Macaca mulatta: one gene and its partner. The protein of the gene in region 2 binds, or shares a complex with, the protein of the main gene of each other region. Links are inferred from orthologs where the notes say so. Each region holds a gene or a part of one and is shown on either strand. Other genes may lie near its edges. The genes, in order: GDF2 and ACVR2B.

Region 1 (8,489 bases), on a different chromosome or scaffold from region 2:
TGGTATCAGTCCATGGACAGTGAGTGGCCCCGTGTGCACCATTGACCGTGGGAGCACTGCACCAGGGGGTCACAATAGCTCTGGCCACAGTGTATCATGCAGCCCACAGGGCTGCTGTCCTGACCTCTCTCTCTGTCCTGCAGTTGGCCTGGGGTTAGTTTTTCAGTGCCTCAGGGGTGATATTAAAAAGCATTTGGCCGCTGAGTGAGCACTGGCAACAGTGGCCAGACCACGCCCTGTATGTGACAAGTAGCCCAGTCACACTTGTGACTGATGGGCTTCAGCCGGGCCCGGCCTCAACACTCCTGGGCTCCCAATGTCTCACTGCTCTTTAGCTGGAGAGGACCTGCTTAACTGCAGCGGGGCACTTGGAAAGATCCTGGGCTTTGGTGTCCCACAACTCTGGGTTGGAATCATGCCATTGACCAATGCTACTTGATCTGCCTGTGTTTCTGTCTCTCTGTCTCTAAATTGGAAGCCATGCCCCTCTAACTGGATTGTAGGAAATAACATGCAGTGATGGGTGTGGCGTGCAGCCTGCTCCTTCCCTCTACTCCCCAAGGGTTTTGGAATAAGCCAGCCTCCTCCACCTTTCTAATCTCCATCAATCTCTGCAGTCACCTGCCCACCTGTGCTCCTCTGGCTCACTGCTGTTGTTTTCTGTTGACTCTGGATTACTTTTCCCCTTGTCTCCTTTTCATCACCTCCTTGCACCCCAACAACCCTCCCAGGCTTTCCCGTTGTGCTCAAATCCCCATTTCCTTAGCCTTCCCTGGCAGTTGAGCTCAGTGGTGTATGCTTTGGTTGGGGGGTGGGGAGGGAGAGCAGGCTCCCTTTCCTCCTCCAGGCTGGCATGCAGATAGAATCAGTCCTTGTTGTGCCCAGGGGGATGCAGGACCTCTCATGTGGAGCCCCTTTGGCCTGCCTCCCCAGCCCCGCAGGCAGGTACTACCTGCACCCACACTCTGCCACACTCATGCCCTCGTAGTGGTACTTGAGGGTGGGCACTCCCATGTCATCCTTGTAGAGGATGGAGATGGGGCTCAGTTTGGTGGGCACACAGCAGGCTTTGCCCACCTTTGTGGGGAACTTGAGATGCACCAGGGTCTGCACGATAGCGTGTTTCGTCGGCGTCACATCGTCAGCCAAGGGGAAGAAGCAGCCACCCTTACACTCGTAGGCTTCGTACTCCTTGGGCGCAATGATCCAGCTGTTCCAGCCGATGTCCTCGAAGTTTACCCGCAGGGAGGTCTTCTGACAGTGGCTGCCAGCCCCGGTGCTCCTTTTCCGCCTGGCTAAAGTCGACCCCACAGCCACGTGGCCATCTGCGTCCTCCTCGTGGCTGCTCTCACCTGCCTCTGTGGAGCCCTCCTTGGACAGCTTCTTGAGCACACTCTCTTGCTCATGGCTGATCATCTCCCTCAGCTCCAGCCTGGTCTCCTTGGTCCCACTGCTGTGGTCATTGGAGAAGACGACAAAGAAGGGCAGGTTTCTGGAACCTGGGGGGACACTGATGTCCAGCTTGTCACAGCCCTTCCTGTGGCTCTCCACAGTCACTTCCAGCTTATTTTTGCTCTTGGTGGAGTCGGACCGGACCCAACGCTTCACGGCGCTGGACACTTCCAAGGTCTCCCAGCCCTCATCCCGAATGTCCTGGGACACCAGGAAGGTCTTGGTCTCCGCAGCACTATCCCAGGCATCTGTTCCATCCAGAACATCATAAATGACCATGCTTCCTTTCAGGTCGTGAGAGTGGTCCATGTGATTTTGACAGGAGACATAGAGTCGGAGCTCAGCTCTGGTGATCTGCTCGTGCCTGGGAATGGAGATGTTGAAGAGCAAGATGTGCTTCTGGAAGGGGAAGTCCTCCGTGGCAGTCATGGAGATGGCATCTGAAATGCAAACACACCTGGTGGGCATCTGCCGAAGGGTCTGTTTCCATGACACTGAAGCTGAGTCTCAGGGTTTAGACAGAAGAGCATCTGGGATAACAGTTTTGGTCTGTATTATCTCTATTTGGTTTCACCCAAGCCCTTAAGTTATAAGAGTATTTTCAAAGGTATACTTAAGATCTTCCAAAGAAAAGCAAAGGCAGGAGATGCCTCTAATTGGGATTGACAGTTCCTACTGTTTATTGAGCATCTACTGTGTGCCAGGCATTACACTGGGAGCTTTGCAGTGTAAATTTCACCTTAATCCTCGCACTCACCCTGGGAGGATCTAATTATTATTCCACATTTGCAGATGTGGAGACTGGGATTCAAGGCAGTTAATTGCCAAAATGCACGCAGCTAGTTAAGTATCCTGGGACTTACTAGCACACAGCTAGTGAGTACATAAAGAAAACAGCAAAACTCACTGTCAGATCCTGAGTGAAGATCCTGAGTACACGAATTTAAAGGCAAGATCCTGGGTGGGGACAGTGAAATCCCAATATTAAGACAATATCAAAAATCTCAGCCTCTAAACAGTGTATGCATCATTTGAAATTGTAATTTCTGAACAAAGCATAAGTGATTAATTGGTTTTAGTGTTTCAGGAAAAAAATCTATTAGCTTCAATTGCTTTGTCATGTCAAGCAAAAATGGGGCTTGCCTTTTAGCCACATAGTTAACTCAATATCCCATTTATCCTGGGCTGACACTTTGTCGTTAGCACACTCCTGCTATACCACGGCTGGTTCACAGACAGGGAAAAGAGGTTGCATTTTCTGGGCACTTGCTATGCGCCCACATGTGTGGAGACCCGGTGCTATAGGGAAACCTAGCTGGCAGGTTTTGAAGTGCCAGTCCTGCCTCTGCAGACTGGTTAGCTCTGGCCTGGATGCGGTATGGAGCCAGGCCCCTAAGCCATTTGCAAGTCTCAGACCCAGGAGGGGAGAGGCTCTGTGCTCCTGGACATTCAGAGGGAGACGGCAGCAGCAGGAAAAGCCGGCTGTGCAGACGGACAGGCCTGGGTCAGAATCCAGCGGCTTAACACTTCCTAGGTGACATGGGTGGGAACCCTTGGTGGCTGCAAGTTTTGACTGAACAGTTTCACTGTTCAGAAACTTATTTCCCCCTGCATCATGTGAGCTTGACTGAGTTAGGACATAGGTCCTAGGTCCGTGTTTGTTATCTTCTAGTCCTTCTAAATCAGATACATTTCTATTTAAAAACAATTAGGTTCTCTTTCAACACTTCTCTGTCAAAGAATTTCATCTGATTTTTAAAACCCTTTCACAAGAAAGGAATAACTGTGCTTTCAAAGTTTAAAAATATACCAGTTAGTTGGAGGTGAAATAGGTTGTCTGTTTTGTTTTGAAGTAGGAAGGGGACAGGAAGGGAAGGGGAAAAGGAAGAGAAGTGAATCAGAGGGGAGAGACGGAAAGAAGAGGAGAGTAAACAGAAGGGGTGGAAAAAAGGGAGCTGGCATCCCTGTGCACCTGCTGTGTGAAATGTGGCGCACAGCCTGGGGAAGGTGAATCCTTCAGAGCAGAAGCGCCGAGTAGAACTCTCAGTGACCATGGAAATGTTCTGCAGTCTGCACTGCCTGATAGGGAAGCCATTAGCCACACATTTGAAAGGAAGCTGGTGAGGCTAAAGAACTAAGTTTTAATTTTATTTCATTGTAACTAATTTAAATGGAAGCTTGAAGAGCCTCCTATGACCAGCGGCCTCCACCCTGGTGAAAGCAGCTGTGGACCTGTGAGTCCTACCCCAGCGCGTCTGGTGCAAGCGGAGACCCTACCTTCCATGCTGAAGCTCCGCACGATGTTGGACGCTGGCGTAGTCGACTTATCAGACGTGTACCTGTTGTACAGATCGATCATGTACTGCGGTGGCTCCACCCTGGTTTTGTCCTGCGAAGGGACCCCGCTCAGGTTAAGGCTGCGCAAGAAATCCACCTTCATGTTCTCCAGAAACATCTTCAGGTTGAAAGTGTGCTCCGGCAGCTCACCTCCAGGCACCCCCAGTGGGTTGTGGGCAGTTCCCCCAGCAGACCCTCGCCCCCAGCTCTGCAGTGGCTTCCCCTGCAGGGAGCCGGCCAGCAGGGACAGCAGGGGCAGGGCCACCCATAGTGCCCCAGGACACATCTTGGGCCCACGCAATCACCCAGAGAGGAGACTGCAGGCGGCCGTACTGTGTTAGCGGGCACGGGGAGGAGCCGGGAAGGAGCAGGCCGGCATCTCCCTGCTGTTTGCTCTGAAGGAACCGTCCTGGCCAGCGCCCACTTTCGCCCGCTGCCGGGCTGGATTGTCCTCCACTTGTGCTTATCTGGTCCTCGATGCCGCGCTCCGACGTCTTATCTGAGGGAGCCTTCCGTTAATGAAGGCTCTATAAACATCTGACAAACACACAGGGCATGTGGGAAGGACACGGCCTACTGTAAGGAATCTGTGCTTCTCCAGGGGGTTATTGCCCCCTAATTAGGATCCTTTCTCATTTCCTTGCCAGGGCTCTTCAGAAGAATCTCCAGGCAGGGTGACATATGCTCCATCTCCTGGGCCACAGTAGTGAAGAATCCAGGAAACAAGACCAAGAAGCCCTCCAAATATAGAAAGGACAGCGCAAGAGCACAGTGAACTGTGGGGGCTGGGGAGATGGTGAGAGTGTGGGGACCACATCAAGGCTCAGAAGAGGCCTGCTCCTTACAGAGTCGGAACCTGCGAGCAAGGCTCCCTGCTCTGTTGGTGGGATGCATTGCTGAGCATTAGAGATCACGAGTGAATATGGCTCTCGTGCAATTTAGTGTGGTGATAAGTCAGACTAGACAGAGGCTGGGATCTCAGCTCCCTCACCGATTCCCTGCAAATGTCACCTGGAACAAGTCACCGCACTCTACGAGCCTCCCATTCAGAAGATAGTTGTAGGGGTTAAGAGGATGCTGTGCCCCAGGCTGGCTTGGTGGCAGCATTCTGGATGCCCCTTCTCCAGCCCACACCTGATTGAGCTGGAGCCCCGGGTTCCCCCAGCCTGCTCTGTCAGAGCTCCACAACACACTGCAGCCTGCAGGGAGCTCCCCACATCCCTGCATCCCAGCTCTGGCACTGGCCTGTTGTGGGGTGGTCTTAGCTCACATTGACTTGGCAGCCACCTGGCCCACACTCATCAGCAGGGAGAACCACGCAATCTGGTAGACAGGGGAGTAGGTGAGTTGTTCTGAGACTGGTACATGCCAAGAAGATGATTCCCTGGCCTTTGGAGGCTGACAAGCTGTGGCCCAGGAAAGGGCCCTAGGGACTGTGTTAAGAGCAGTGTGTCCACACTTAAGACTCTGTCCATTTCCATCATGTGTGGCTTTGAGTACAGCAAAGAAGGAGCATGGTTAGAAATACTCCAGGGTATGCTGTGCCTGGTGGTTTACTCTGGGGAAGATGCTCCATGCTGGTGAGGCTGTCGGGGAGAGGTTGCAGAGAGCTGAGCAGGTTTAGTGGGGTGCAGGAGGGGCCACAGCATGCTGTGGTCAGATTGCAGACGAGGATGGGTGAAATCAGGAGCCCCTGAATGGCTGGGCCTGGACAGAACTTGCTATCTCTGTCCTTTGATGACATGGGCCAGGGGAAGACGGGAAGCGTGCTGCTTCAGAAATGCTGCTTGGGAAGAGGACTGGAAGTGCGCTGGGCTTTGATCCAGCTCAGCGCAAGAATTCCATGGGGCAGAGAAAAGATGAATAAATGGGTGCCATGCCCAAGAAATGGAGCTGCAAATGCAGAGTGGGGTGTGGTCTGGGAGGAGTGAGGACAGGGCAGATGCCTGCATCGTGGTCTGACCAGGAGCTTTTCACACATGAGAGGCTGAGCAGAGTATGAATAGCCTAGGGGCCTGGATGTGCTCTAGTAGGAGCAAGGCGCTGCTACCTGATGTTATTTTTCAAATGTGACATTTTTTCCCAGTTATAACAGTAGTCTATAGTGCAGAAAGCTTGGGAAATGGAAAACATTGTTAAAGAGAAAATAAATAACCTACAGTTTAATCATCCAGTGATGCTCATGGTTAGCATTTTGAGACACATCCGCTCCACAATCCTATATCTGAAACCCTTGTGGCCAAGAGTGTGTTGCGACTTCGATAGTTTCAGATTTGGGGGATTTTGTATTGTGTATATGCAATAACATTCCCAAAGGGGTCAGAGACGACACCTTATAATGACACACATGAATATTTCTGCAGTGAAACAAATAAAGCCACAAATGTCCATTCAGGTCAAGTTTTCCCAGAAAAGGAATTAAAAGAAACTTTAGGTTCTTAGATGGTTTTTTATTTGGGGGTCTCAGATGAAGGACTATGGACCTGACTATGTCCAGGGTCATCACAGCTGCCTGTGGGTGCTGGTCACACAGACTCTGACATGGATGGCTTTCCCTGGAGCTGTGCAATGCAACATGCCGGTGTATATCTGAAATGATTTGCCTCACAAACTCAAGGGATCAATATGTTCACATCTCTTTTATTGTTTTAAATGGATTGCTTGAGGTTTCCTGATCCATATCATCAGGAAGTCTGGTCTTCTCCTTTCCTGAATAGTCCAAGTGCCCCATGTGTCAATTAAGTCCAAAGGAGATGGTGTGGGAAGGTGTTAGTCCAGCTTCTTCACGCTGGGAAGCGGGAGGGAGAGAGGGGTCCCACCTGCTGTTGCTTCTCAACAACACTGGCTTTGCTGTTGGGCACTGGTCCTACATGTCTAAACGGCTGCTTGTTCTTAGCTGCTGGGACGCCCTCTAGCCCAGGTCTGTAGGGTGCGCCCCATGAGGCAACAAGGTAACAGTCTTCTTAGACATATGCCGGGCTTACCCACCTCCGGCATGCATGCCTCTGTGGCCAGTGGCTGGGTGGAGAGAAGAGGCCAGCTATGGTCACATACCAATTCTAACCTGCCCTTTCTCAAATTTCTAGGCTCTTACGGGTGGCCTAGGTCATCAGAGGGACTCCCACTTTCATCAGGTGGTGATTTCAGGGACTTGGTTACCTTTTCATACAAATGGACCTTGGTCCATCTGAGAAAATCCCCCTAACTCTGAGTCTTAGGGAACAAGTCTCAAACTTGTTCTGATTTTCCCAGGAGGAAACAGACCCTGGGTGTTCCCTCCTGAAGAAGGACCCCTCCCTCTGCTATCACCAGCTTTGCATTGTTGGGGTTTCAGGAAGGAGCTGCCTCACTTGAACCACAGAAGGTCTTATTTATCTCTCGTTTGCCCCCTCCTCCTTCAAACTGTGTACTTTCTAATTCTTCACCGACTTCCCAGGGAGGTCTATCCACATGATTATTCAAAGACTAAAGATCTGAATTATGGTAGTCTTATGTGTCTATACCTAAATAAAGCAAAGGCTGGCATAAAATTTAAGAAAATGTACACTAAAGTGTCTTCAATCTCTGCCTTAGGTTTACTTTCGAAGCCACTTGAGGTATACAAGGTTTGATATGTATGGGCTTCTCTTTGAAAAAAATTTTTTTAATTAAAAAAATTTTAAATGTTGTCATTTGGATTCCTTTTGTCACAGGCTGCAGAAAAGCAGAATCCAAACAGGCCTAAGCAAAGTGGATTGCACCTGACTAATGAAAACTTCTGGGTTGGCAACGGTTTGGCTTTAGCATGGCTTGAGCTACAGGACAGGCAAAGTTCTAGCCATGCTTTCTCCTCTCTCAGTCCTGCCTTCCACTGTGTTGGCTTCATGCTCCATCTCTCTGTGTCTTGGCGAGGTGGCCAGTCACTGCAGCCGGCCTGTATCCCTTTCACATGGGGGGCTGGGTGGGGTCAAAGAGGAGCAAAAGCCTCTTTTCCGGAAAGTCCTAGGGAGTCTCATGGTGTCTCTCTGACCCTGATTGGATAATCTGCAAACACTCCAGCCAATCACCGTGGCTGGGGGAACGCAATGTCCTGAATGTCCTGATTGGCTTAGGACCCTGGGATGGGAGTGGCGCAGACAGCACAGGGAGGGAGTCAGGTTGGCATGAACCCCAGAAGGGTCTAGATCTGGGCACTAGGAGGAGGTACTGGGGAAGGACTGTATAAATACCTTCCCATGTCATGAAAAACTTTTCATGAACTTCATTTTTTTTTTTTTTTTTGAGATGAGATCTCACTCTGTCACCCAGGCTGGAGTGCAGTGGCGTGATCATGGCTCACTGTAGCCTCGATCTCCCTGGTCCCAGGTGATCCTTCCACCTCAGCCTCCTGAGTAGCTGGGACCACAGGCATGAGCCACCACGCCAGCCTAATTTTTATATTTTTTGTAGAGACGGGGTTCCGTCACGTTGCTCAGTTTGGTCTCAAACTCCTGGACTCAAGTGATCTGCCAGCATCCACTACACAAAGTGCTGGGATTACAGGCGTGAGCCACTGCGTCCAGCCCATGAACTTCATTTTTAATGACTAAACATTTTCCAATTGTATGGACATATCTTAATTTATTCAAATATTTTCCGATGGTAGGACAATCAAGACTACTAAGATAATGTTGCAAGACACATTATCTTACATTGTTATAGTGTATATTTTGTATTATTTT
Region 2 (8,452 bases):
GGATTATAGGTGTGCACCACCACACCCAGCACCCCAGAATATTTCAATCTAACTTTAGTGTTTGTCTACATGTGGGTCCCCCTAACTTCTATATCTTTAGGATCTCAATCCCAAGTAAGTGATTGACTCTGCCCACCCTTTGCTTAGAATTCCAATTCCTGTCTTCCCAGCCCCACAAAGCTACAAATGCAGCCTCTCAGTTGACCCTATGACTAAAAACAGACCCAAATACCAAAATCATCACCCTAGGCCTTTGTTCTCATGCAGATACTGGCCTGGTAGGTCTTCAGTATCTTCTTAGATATACAATGCCTTCAACCAGAGAAGTTTTATTTTTTCCAGTTTCTCCAGTTACCTTTAGAAAGAGATTTGGTCCTGATTATCAGAAAAGGACATCTCCATATCTACTTTTTACCCAGCTTTTAGACATATTTTCAGGATCGTAACATGCCCAAAGGCAAGGGAACCTGCACACATACACAGAAATTAAGCCCACCAGTGTAGATAAGATTGTCCATGGACAGTATTAAGCAAGAACAAGAGAGACACCAGGGCAAAGCCCTGAAAAAAGTAACTTCCATTCCAAAATGTCACTCAAGAGGAAAACAGAATTCACTTTCAACCAAACTTTATTGTTTCAGACAGTCATAGATTGAAGTGAGTCCCACCAAAATTCATAGGTTGAGGCCCTAACCTCCAATGTGACTACTGAGTTGGTGCAAAAGTAATTGCGGGTTTTGCCATTAACATATTTACAGATAGGGCCTTTAAGACGGTAATTAAGGCTAAATGAGGTGATAAAGGTGGGCCTCCAGTCCAACAGGACTGGCATCCTTATAAGAAGAGACACCTGGAGTGGATACACACAGCAAAAAGGACAAAGCAAGAAGGCTACCATATGCCAACCCAGGAGAGAGGAATCACTGGAAACCAATCCTGACAGCACCTTCATCTTTAACTTCCAGCCCCCAGAATTGCAGGAAAAGAAATTTCTGTTGTTTAAGCCACCCAGTCTATGGTATTCCATTATGGCAACCTGAGCAGACTAAGACACAAACAGTGCACATCATACGTATAATGTGGGAAAGATGATTGGAGTATCATTTGTACTAGAAACAGTTCCACAAACTTGAGTGTCATCTAAATTCATTAGCAGGGCCTGACAAGTGGACTTACATAAAGAATCCTAACATAACAGTAAAGAGTAGGCAGCAAGCTGAAGAACAAGACTGGGAAGCAAGAGCTTTGGAGAACAAGTCATCCCAAACTATCTTCCCTAAGTCTTCTGCCAACTGTGGCAGAGAGTTATACAGGGAACAAGGCATACACTCAGCCAGGAACAGAAACTCACCAGAGCTCCTTCTGTCATGAAAAGCTTCTCACCATACTCTAAAATAGTTTTTCTACAGGTTTCTCCAATACCCCCACCATCATTATCACCACATATGAAATTAGAATTTGTCACACTCAGATTTTGTCAAATGCAGTAGGTTCGCCAGTAGTGCCGTTACCCAGAGCTCTTCAGCAACCTTCAGCAAGTGCCTTAGTCTCTTCAGAGTCTGCAGGCAGCATGGAGCCTGGTAAGTGAACGCACATATGCACTTCCATCCCAAACCCAGACCAGCACATCCTGGCTTGTCCACTGCTACTTCCCTCATCAGCACAGTACCCAGGAGACTCAGGCACAAGGTAGGAGACGCAGGCACGAGAAGTTATCTCCAGGTCTCCTCATACATTAAGCCAGTGGAAATGAGCCCTTCCCATGTCCCAGCATCCTTCTTGAAGCCAGGCTATTTCTAACCTCTGTAATCTAGCATGTCAGCAGGGGTTGGGGTGTGGGGGTGGGAAGGATGCTCACAGATTACCGCAGAGAGCCAACTGCCAAATCACCCAGCTTCTACCCCCACTGCCATCACTTGGGTAGCCTCAAAAAATAAATAAATAAATAAAATAGTGTAACCATTTTTCAGTATCTATTAAAACCAGTAATACACGCCTTAAAATCCAGAAGTTATTTTCTCATCTATCCTTGAGAAACAGTCTGCATACATTCTATACAATCATAAAGTCCAGGCCGGGCGCGGTGGCTCAAGCCTGTAATCCCAGCACTTTGGGAGGCCGAGACGGGCAGATCACAAGGTCAGGAGATCAAGACCATCCTGGCTACACAGTGAAACCCCATCTCTACTAAAAAATGCAAAAAAAAACTAGCCGGGTGGGTTGGCGGGCACCTGTAGTCCCAGCTACTCGGGAGGCTGAGGTAGGAGAATGGCGTAAACCCGGGAGGCGGAGCTTGCAGTGAGCTGAGATCCGGCCACTGCACTCCAGCCTGGGCGACAGAGCAAGACTCCGTCTCAAAAAAAAAAAAAAAAAAAAAAACCTTGGTTAAAGTCACAAACATGGTGAGGAAAAGATGGATGCAAAGCAGTTTATTCTGTAAGGTTCTATTCATACGAAACACAGAAACAGACGAAACTATTTTATGCTGTTAGAAGTCAGAATAGTAGTTAACCTTAGTGGGTGTTGGTAGAGACTGAAATGGAACAAAACAGGACTTGCTGGGGATGGGTGGCTGGAAAATTTCTGATTCTTGACTTGGATGCTGACTACACCAGTGTATTCAGTTTGTGAAAATGCTTCTCAGCTGTCACTTCTGTTTAATTACTTGTACATTCTTCTGTATATGTTTATACTTCAATTAAATGCTTGAATACCATTTTAGGTGGAAAAAAAGCCTATTTCTTTTTTTTTTTTTTTTGAGATGGAGACTCACTCAGTTGTCCAGGCTGGACTGCAGTGGCGCTATCTTGGCTCACTGCAAGCTCTGCCTCCCGGGTTCACGCCATTCTCCTGCCTCAGCCTCCCGAGTAGCTGGGACTACAGGCATCCACCACCACGTCCGGCTAATTTTTTGTATTTTTAGTAGAGACGGGGTTTCACTGTGTTAGCCAGGATGGTCTCAATCTCCTGACCTCATGATTTGCCCGCCTCAGCCTCCCAAAGTGCTGGGATTACAGGTGTGAGCCACGGTGCCTGGCCAAAAACCTGTCTATTTCTGTAAGTATTTCTATAGATGCACAGGTAAAAATGTCTGGAAGAATATACCTCAACCTTCAAAGGATTACGTTTGGAGGAGGCCTCAGATGGGGAACAGAGATGATAAAAGGAGGCCCTAGTTTTATCCGTAACATCTAAATTTCTGTGATACAATGTAGGTATATTACTTGTTTAAAAAGTAATAATTTGTTTTTAGAAATGGAAAAATTAGTTAGGGCTGAAGTGACTTCTACTCCCCAAACTACACCCCAGGGTGGCTAACCTTTCAGTGATGGGAGGTTTGGATGGGAGGTTTCAGGGCAGGGGAGATAGACTGCATTACCCTGGCCCTCCTTCTACTCCCACACAGCCTTGTAGGTCTCACCCTCAGCCAGAAGGTTCACAGGAGGAGCCAGCCAGGTGGGAAGAGAAACCAGAATTCATCTCTCTAACCCTTCTGCTCCTCTAGTTTCTAAGCCCCAGAGCAGATGAGCCTTTACTCACTATGCCCTCACTACACAGAGAAGCTGGACCTCCTGTGTGAGCCCTGGGCCACAGGACTCCCCTCTAACCCAATATCAAACTTCAGTGAGAAGGAAATTCCCAAAAAGTGCATAAAATAAGAGTTCTTAAACCATGGTTGCCAGCCCAGGCTGGGAAAACTCATGCGTGCTTTCTAAATCAACGGACACATAATAATCCAGTTGGAGGGGAAGGGGAGGAGGGTTATCAATGACACTGGACATTCATTAAAAGGCATTGTCCTCATACCTGAAAACACTGTGCACCACTGCACAAGCCAGAAGGAAAAAACATCCTGGCATCAACACTTGAGAGAGTCAGCTTCCAAGTCAGTCTCCTGTTTTAATTGGTTCAGGTCTGGGAGGCCACAGGGACCCCTCCCTCTCCTCAGATGGACAGATAACAGCTGGTCTGGTCTCATCCTCCGAAATGCTCAGGCACAAACCTGGGAAGCAGCCTCCTCCATTCTCCAGCCAAGGGCTTGGGTTTCCAACTAGCCTTCCTTTTCCTTCTCCAAAACTAATTTTAGCTTCCTTGGTTGTCAGAGTGGAACTGAAATAGTCGGCAGAGGAACACACGCAAAGAGCATGAGCTCGCCTCACAAAACACCTCAGCTCCAGCCCAGAAACTGGCCAGGGAGAAGCCCCATTGTCCAGCAGGTCAGACCTGTCCAGACAACATTCCCCTGGGAAGAGGGCCTCACATTTGCCCAGTGGGACAGGCTTCCTTTCCACACCCGCTTCCAGAGGTCATGTGTCCATGAATGAAAACACCCAGTTGGAGCTGCCAGTCCCAGAAAGAATCTGAAAAAGGCACATGCATGTGTACAGCAAGCCTAGAATAACCAGAGGAAAGCATGGGGCTATCCGAAGGCAGAAAGCTATTATTGGTCCTGGGCCCTGCAGGAAGAGGCATGGCTGACCCCTGAACAATCCCAGTCTGCTTTATCCGTTGATTTCCAGCACCTACCATTGTCTTAGTCAGAGACATCACTGACCAATGTAATAAATAAAGAGTCAGAAGAAGGCAGCAGCATTTCCACCCCTGGAAAACCTGGGCATTCAGGAGTGGTACCCCAAGGACCACAAGGAATAGGCACCTCTAGGGCTAGGATGGACCCCTAAGTCTGGTGCAGAATGAGAGACCAAAAAAGGAAGCCCAGAACAAGGGGGTGGGTCTCTGTTTTGGAATACAGAATTAGTGACAGAATGGGAGGGAAGGAAGAGAAAGAATTCTGAGAAGGAAATAAAGTCCCCTTTGTAAAGACCCCAAAAACAGATGGAACTAAAGTCTGAACCTCAGCAAGCACTTCACATACCAGTGATGTGGAGCACTTGGAAACTGGGGCTTTGAAAAATGCTTCCGCCATCCTAAGAGTCCAGTTTGTAATCACTTCCCAGTGCAGCAAACTGTGTCTCACTGAGTTCAAGATGAGAGAGAGTCCCACAGAAGCATTCCCTAGCCAAGCTCGAAGCAGGCCAGGGTAGGAGTAGAAAATAAACATGGGGGCAGCCACAGGGGGCTGCCAGCCTGCCAAGCCCAACAGACAAGCTTCCACAGATACGAACCGCTCCACCGGGGCCTCCAGTGCTGGCTGCCGCATGTCTAAGGCAGCGCTGCCCACACCTCCCCAGGTCCACAGCAGGAAGCCTGGCCCTGCCCTCAGATTCCCATCTGGCCACCACACCCTGAAGAGAGGGGAGAGACTTGCACCCATACCTTTGGGGAGAGGCTGCCCACCTGCCCTGGTGTCCCCGGCCTGGGGGCTCCAGGCCCACAGCCTCTGCGGCTCCCCGGAGCGCCACACGGCAGGTCTGCTCAGGGGAAGGGGCATGCCCACGGCCTGCTACAACCCCAGTGCTCCGCTTGGCAGACAGGGCTAGCCTCAGCTCCTGAGGCCCCTAGGTGAGCAGAGAGGGGGTGCTGGGCAGGCAGAGAGTCCCCAGCAACAGGCACTTCCTGACATTCTGCGTGTACGGGAGGAAGAGGCTGAGTGCCAGCCTTAAGGCAACGGTCAGAGGCGAGTGGGCGGGTGCGGGCAGGCAGGCTGCCCAGCCACCCACAGCCTCCGCCTCCCTGAAACCTGAACCACTTCTGGGAAAACTCAAGGACGCCAGGATTCTCCTCGGTGGCAAGCTGTACACCAGAACCACTAATTTTGAACCAAACTCTCACGTGCTGAGCAGATTTCACTAAGCAGGAATCTCCTAGGCCTTGAGGAGAACCTCACCTTCAACCCTGCATCCAGAGTGGGGGGATGGATATGCACTCATAAGCCGTTACCCCTACCTACTTCTTACAACTGTGTGCCTCTTTGAAAGCATGAGAACATTCTGGATCAGTGGTTCCCAACAGGAGATGATTTTGCTCTCACCTCTGCCAGGGACATTTTAGCAAGATCTGGAAACATTTTTGGTTGACATGATCTACTGGAATTTGTGGGTAGAGGTAGGGATACTGCTGAATATCCTACAATGCACAGAACAGCTCAACCCACCACTACCCACACACAACAGAGTATCATCAGGCCTAAAATGTAAATAGTGTCAAGGCTGAGAAACCCCGTTCTAGAGTGAGGCCCATGCAACCAGGACCCTACCTCAGGACTATCTAGAGTCTATCTGGAGTTACCCACAAAAAGATTATCCAGACCCAGTCCTCAACCCTCCAGATCCCAATCCATGGTGACAGGTTAGTATATGTGAGTGGATCTAAACTCCTGAACTGATACTCCTTGGTTCTCATTTGCACTACCCTGAGCTCCCAAGCAGAGGGGCTGAATGCATAGGCAGGCACTCAAGAGGGCAGCTTTCTGGAAAGAGACACCAGGGCTAGAATCTAAACATCCAGCGGGATCACAAAAGGCAAAGTAAGTGAGGTACCAAGGTGGAACAAGCACCCCTCCCACCCCAGAACAAGCTGCCCCTTAGGACTGCTACAGTGGATATGTGCAGGGCAGCCAGGACTTCAAGGAGTTTAATCAGGGGGCAGCAGGTTCCCAGTATCTACAAAACAGAGTGGGTGCATACAATGTACAACCACATGCACACATATACCGATTTACATTTTCCTGGGGGAAGGGTCCATAGCTTTCATCAGATTCTCAGAGGGGTCTACGACATCAAGGACCACTGTACAGAATGTGGGCTCTTCACTGGCTCCCTATAACGGGAGCTCCTTAGGTGAAGTGCCAGCGGAGGTTCAGCTGCTTTTGGAGATTCTTGATGCCCAGAAAGACCCACAGAGTAGTATACCACAGAGGCCCACCCAAGCGATGGGAGGCCATGGGGTTCAGATCTTATGTTTTCACCCAGCTGTAGGGCCTGGAAAGATGGCCAGGTTTCTCACATCATCTGTCTTGAAAGGGCCCCCAAGAGCTAGGGATTCCTCCCAAAGGGCAGCTCACCCAGATGGGGCAGAGCCTCAAGTGCCCAGCAGATACAAGGACAGATAGCAGAAAACACTCTTCCCTGGGAGGGGCACCCATGGCCCATGGCTCTGCAGCCCATGTCCTTGGCAGCTACCACTACACTAGGCCTGAGGGATGAAAGTCACTTCACTTCACAAGCTCGTTCCCTCCACCAAGGAAGTGGCCAAGAAACATCTTTGGGTCAAAGAACGGTCAGCCTATCAGAGCAATCAGGGCCTGCACTTCCTGATGGGACAGATAGGAGGCAGGTCCCTCTCCAAGAGCTCTGGACACTTCACCTAGAATACTGTTCACTCCACCCCCATAGGCCCTTTGATCTGAACCCCAAGTACAGAGACAGGTGTTAGGAGTTCTTGTAGGATACAGCGTTGAGTGTCCAGGATGTCCACTGAAATGCAAGAGCCAAATGGCTTGTTTCCCAAGGACACTCGGCCAGACACAGACCACAAAAGACTTAAAGAATTATTAAAGAACTAACTGACCACTGACTGATCTTGTGACAAGCACCATGTGCCACTTATTACACCATAAATTCTGCCTTCCCTTCTGAGACTCCATTGTCCAATATGGTAGCCACTAGCCAAATGTTCCGCAGAGCACTGGAAATGTGGAAAGTTGGAGTTGAGGATGTTCTGTAAGGCACACACAGGATTTTGATGACAGTACAAAAATGGAACACAAAATGTCTCATTTTAATACTGATTTCAGACTGAGATGATTACTTTGTATATATCAAATTAAGTGAAATACACTTTTTTATTGAGATGGAGCCTCACTCTGTCACCAGGCTGGAGTGCAGTGACACGATCTCGGCTCACTGCAACCTCCACCTCCCAGGTTCATGCGATTCTCCTGCCTCAGCCTCCGGAGTAGCTGGGACTACAGGTATGTGTCACCACGCCCAGCTAATTTTTGTATTTTTAGTAGAGATGGGGTTTCACCATGTTGGCCAGGATGGTCTCGATCTCTTGACCTCGTGATCCTCCTACCTCGGTCTCCTGAAGTGCTGGGATTACAGGCATCAGCCACTGTGCCAGGCCAGTAAAATATACTATTAAAGTTCATTCCATCTCATGGAAAGCATGTGTACCCCCAAAATTCATATGATGAAGCTCTGACCCCCAGTGTAATGGTATTTGGAGATGGGACCTTTGGGAAGTAGTGAAGGTTAGATTAAGTCAGAAGGGTGGGGCCCTCAGGTAATGGGGAGAGGATTCACAGTCTTATAAACAGAGGAAAACACCCCCTAGCCCCATCCCACCCATCATGTGAGAATGTAGTAAGAAGGCAGATGTCTGCAAGCCAGGAAGAGGGTCTTCACCAGAACCCAACCATGCCAGCACCCTGCACCCTGGGCTCAGACTTACAGCTTCCAGAACTTTGACGATATAAATTTCTGCTGTTTAAGCCACCAGTCTACAGTATTTTGTTATGGAAGTCCCAACTAAGACACAGCTGTTTCTT

What was found.
Region 1: the proteins of ACVR2B (region 2) and GDF2 are in contact, whole or in part, in a crystal structure (PDB 4FAO), measured with the Homo sapiens proteins. The link is inferred for Macaca mulatta from reciprocal best matches to the Homo sapiens genes ACVR2B and GDF2. Residues at the interface, in NP_001097.2 of Homo sapiens: Asn35, Glu39, Cys49, Glu50, Glu52, Lys55, Leu57, Tyr60, Ser62, Arg64, Val73, Lys74, Cys77, Trp78, Leu79, Asp81, Phe82, Asn83, Glu94, Gln98, Val99, Phe101; in NP_057288.1 of Homo sapiens: Arg333, Ile346, Ala347, Pro348, Lys349, Glu350, Tyr351, Glu352, Lys397, Ser399, Pro400, Ile401, Ser402, Val403, Leu404, Lys406, Gly410, Val411, Pro412, Thr413, Leu414, Tyr416, His417.

What each region holds. Positions count from the first base shown.
Region 1 is NC_133414.1:61,450,600-61,459,088, reverse strand, and holds the start of GDF2 (growth/differentiation factor 2), read right to left. Parts: upstream 4,508-8,489; 5' UTR 4,076-4,507; coding exon 3,730-4,075; intron 1,893-3,729; coding exon 949-1,892; 3' UTR 1-948. UniProt on the Homo sapiens protein: Potent circulating inhibitor of angiogenesis. Signals through the type I activin receptor ACVRL1 but not other Alks. Signaling through SMAD1 in endothelial cells requires TGF-beta coreceptor endoglin/ENG.
Region 2 is NC_133407.1:100,747,489-100,755,940, reverse strand, and holds the start of ACVR2B (activin receptor type-2B), read right to left. Parts: upstream 5,540-8,452; 5' UTR 5,393-5,539; coding exon 5,278-5,392; intron 1-5,277. UniProt on the Homo sapiens protein: Transmembrane serine/threonine kinase activin type-2 receptor forming an activin receptor complex with activin type-1 serine/threonine kinase receptors (ACVR1, ACVR1B or ACVR1c).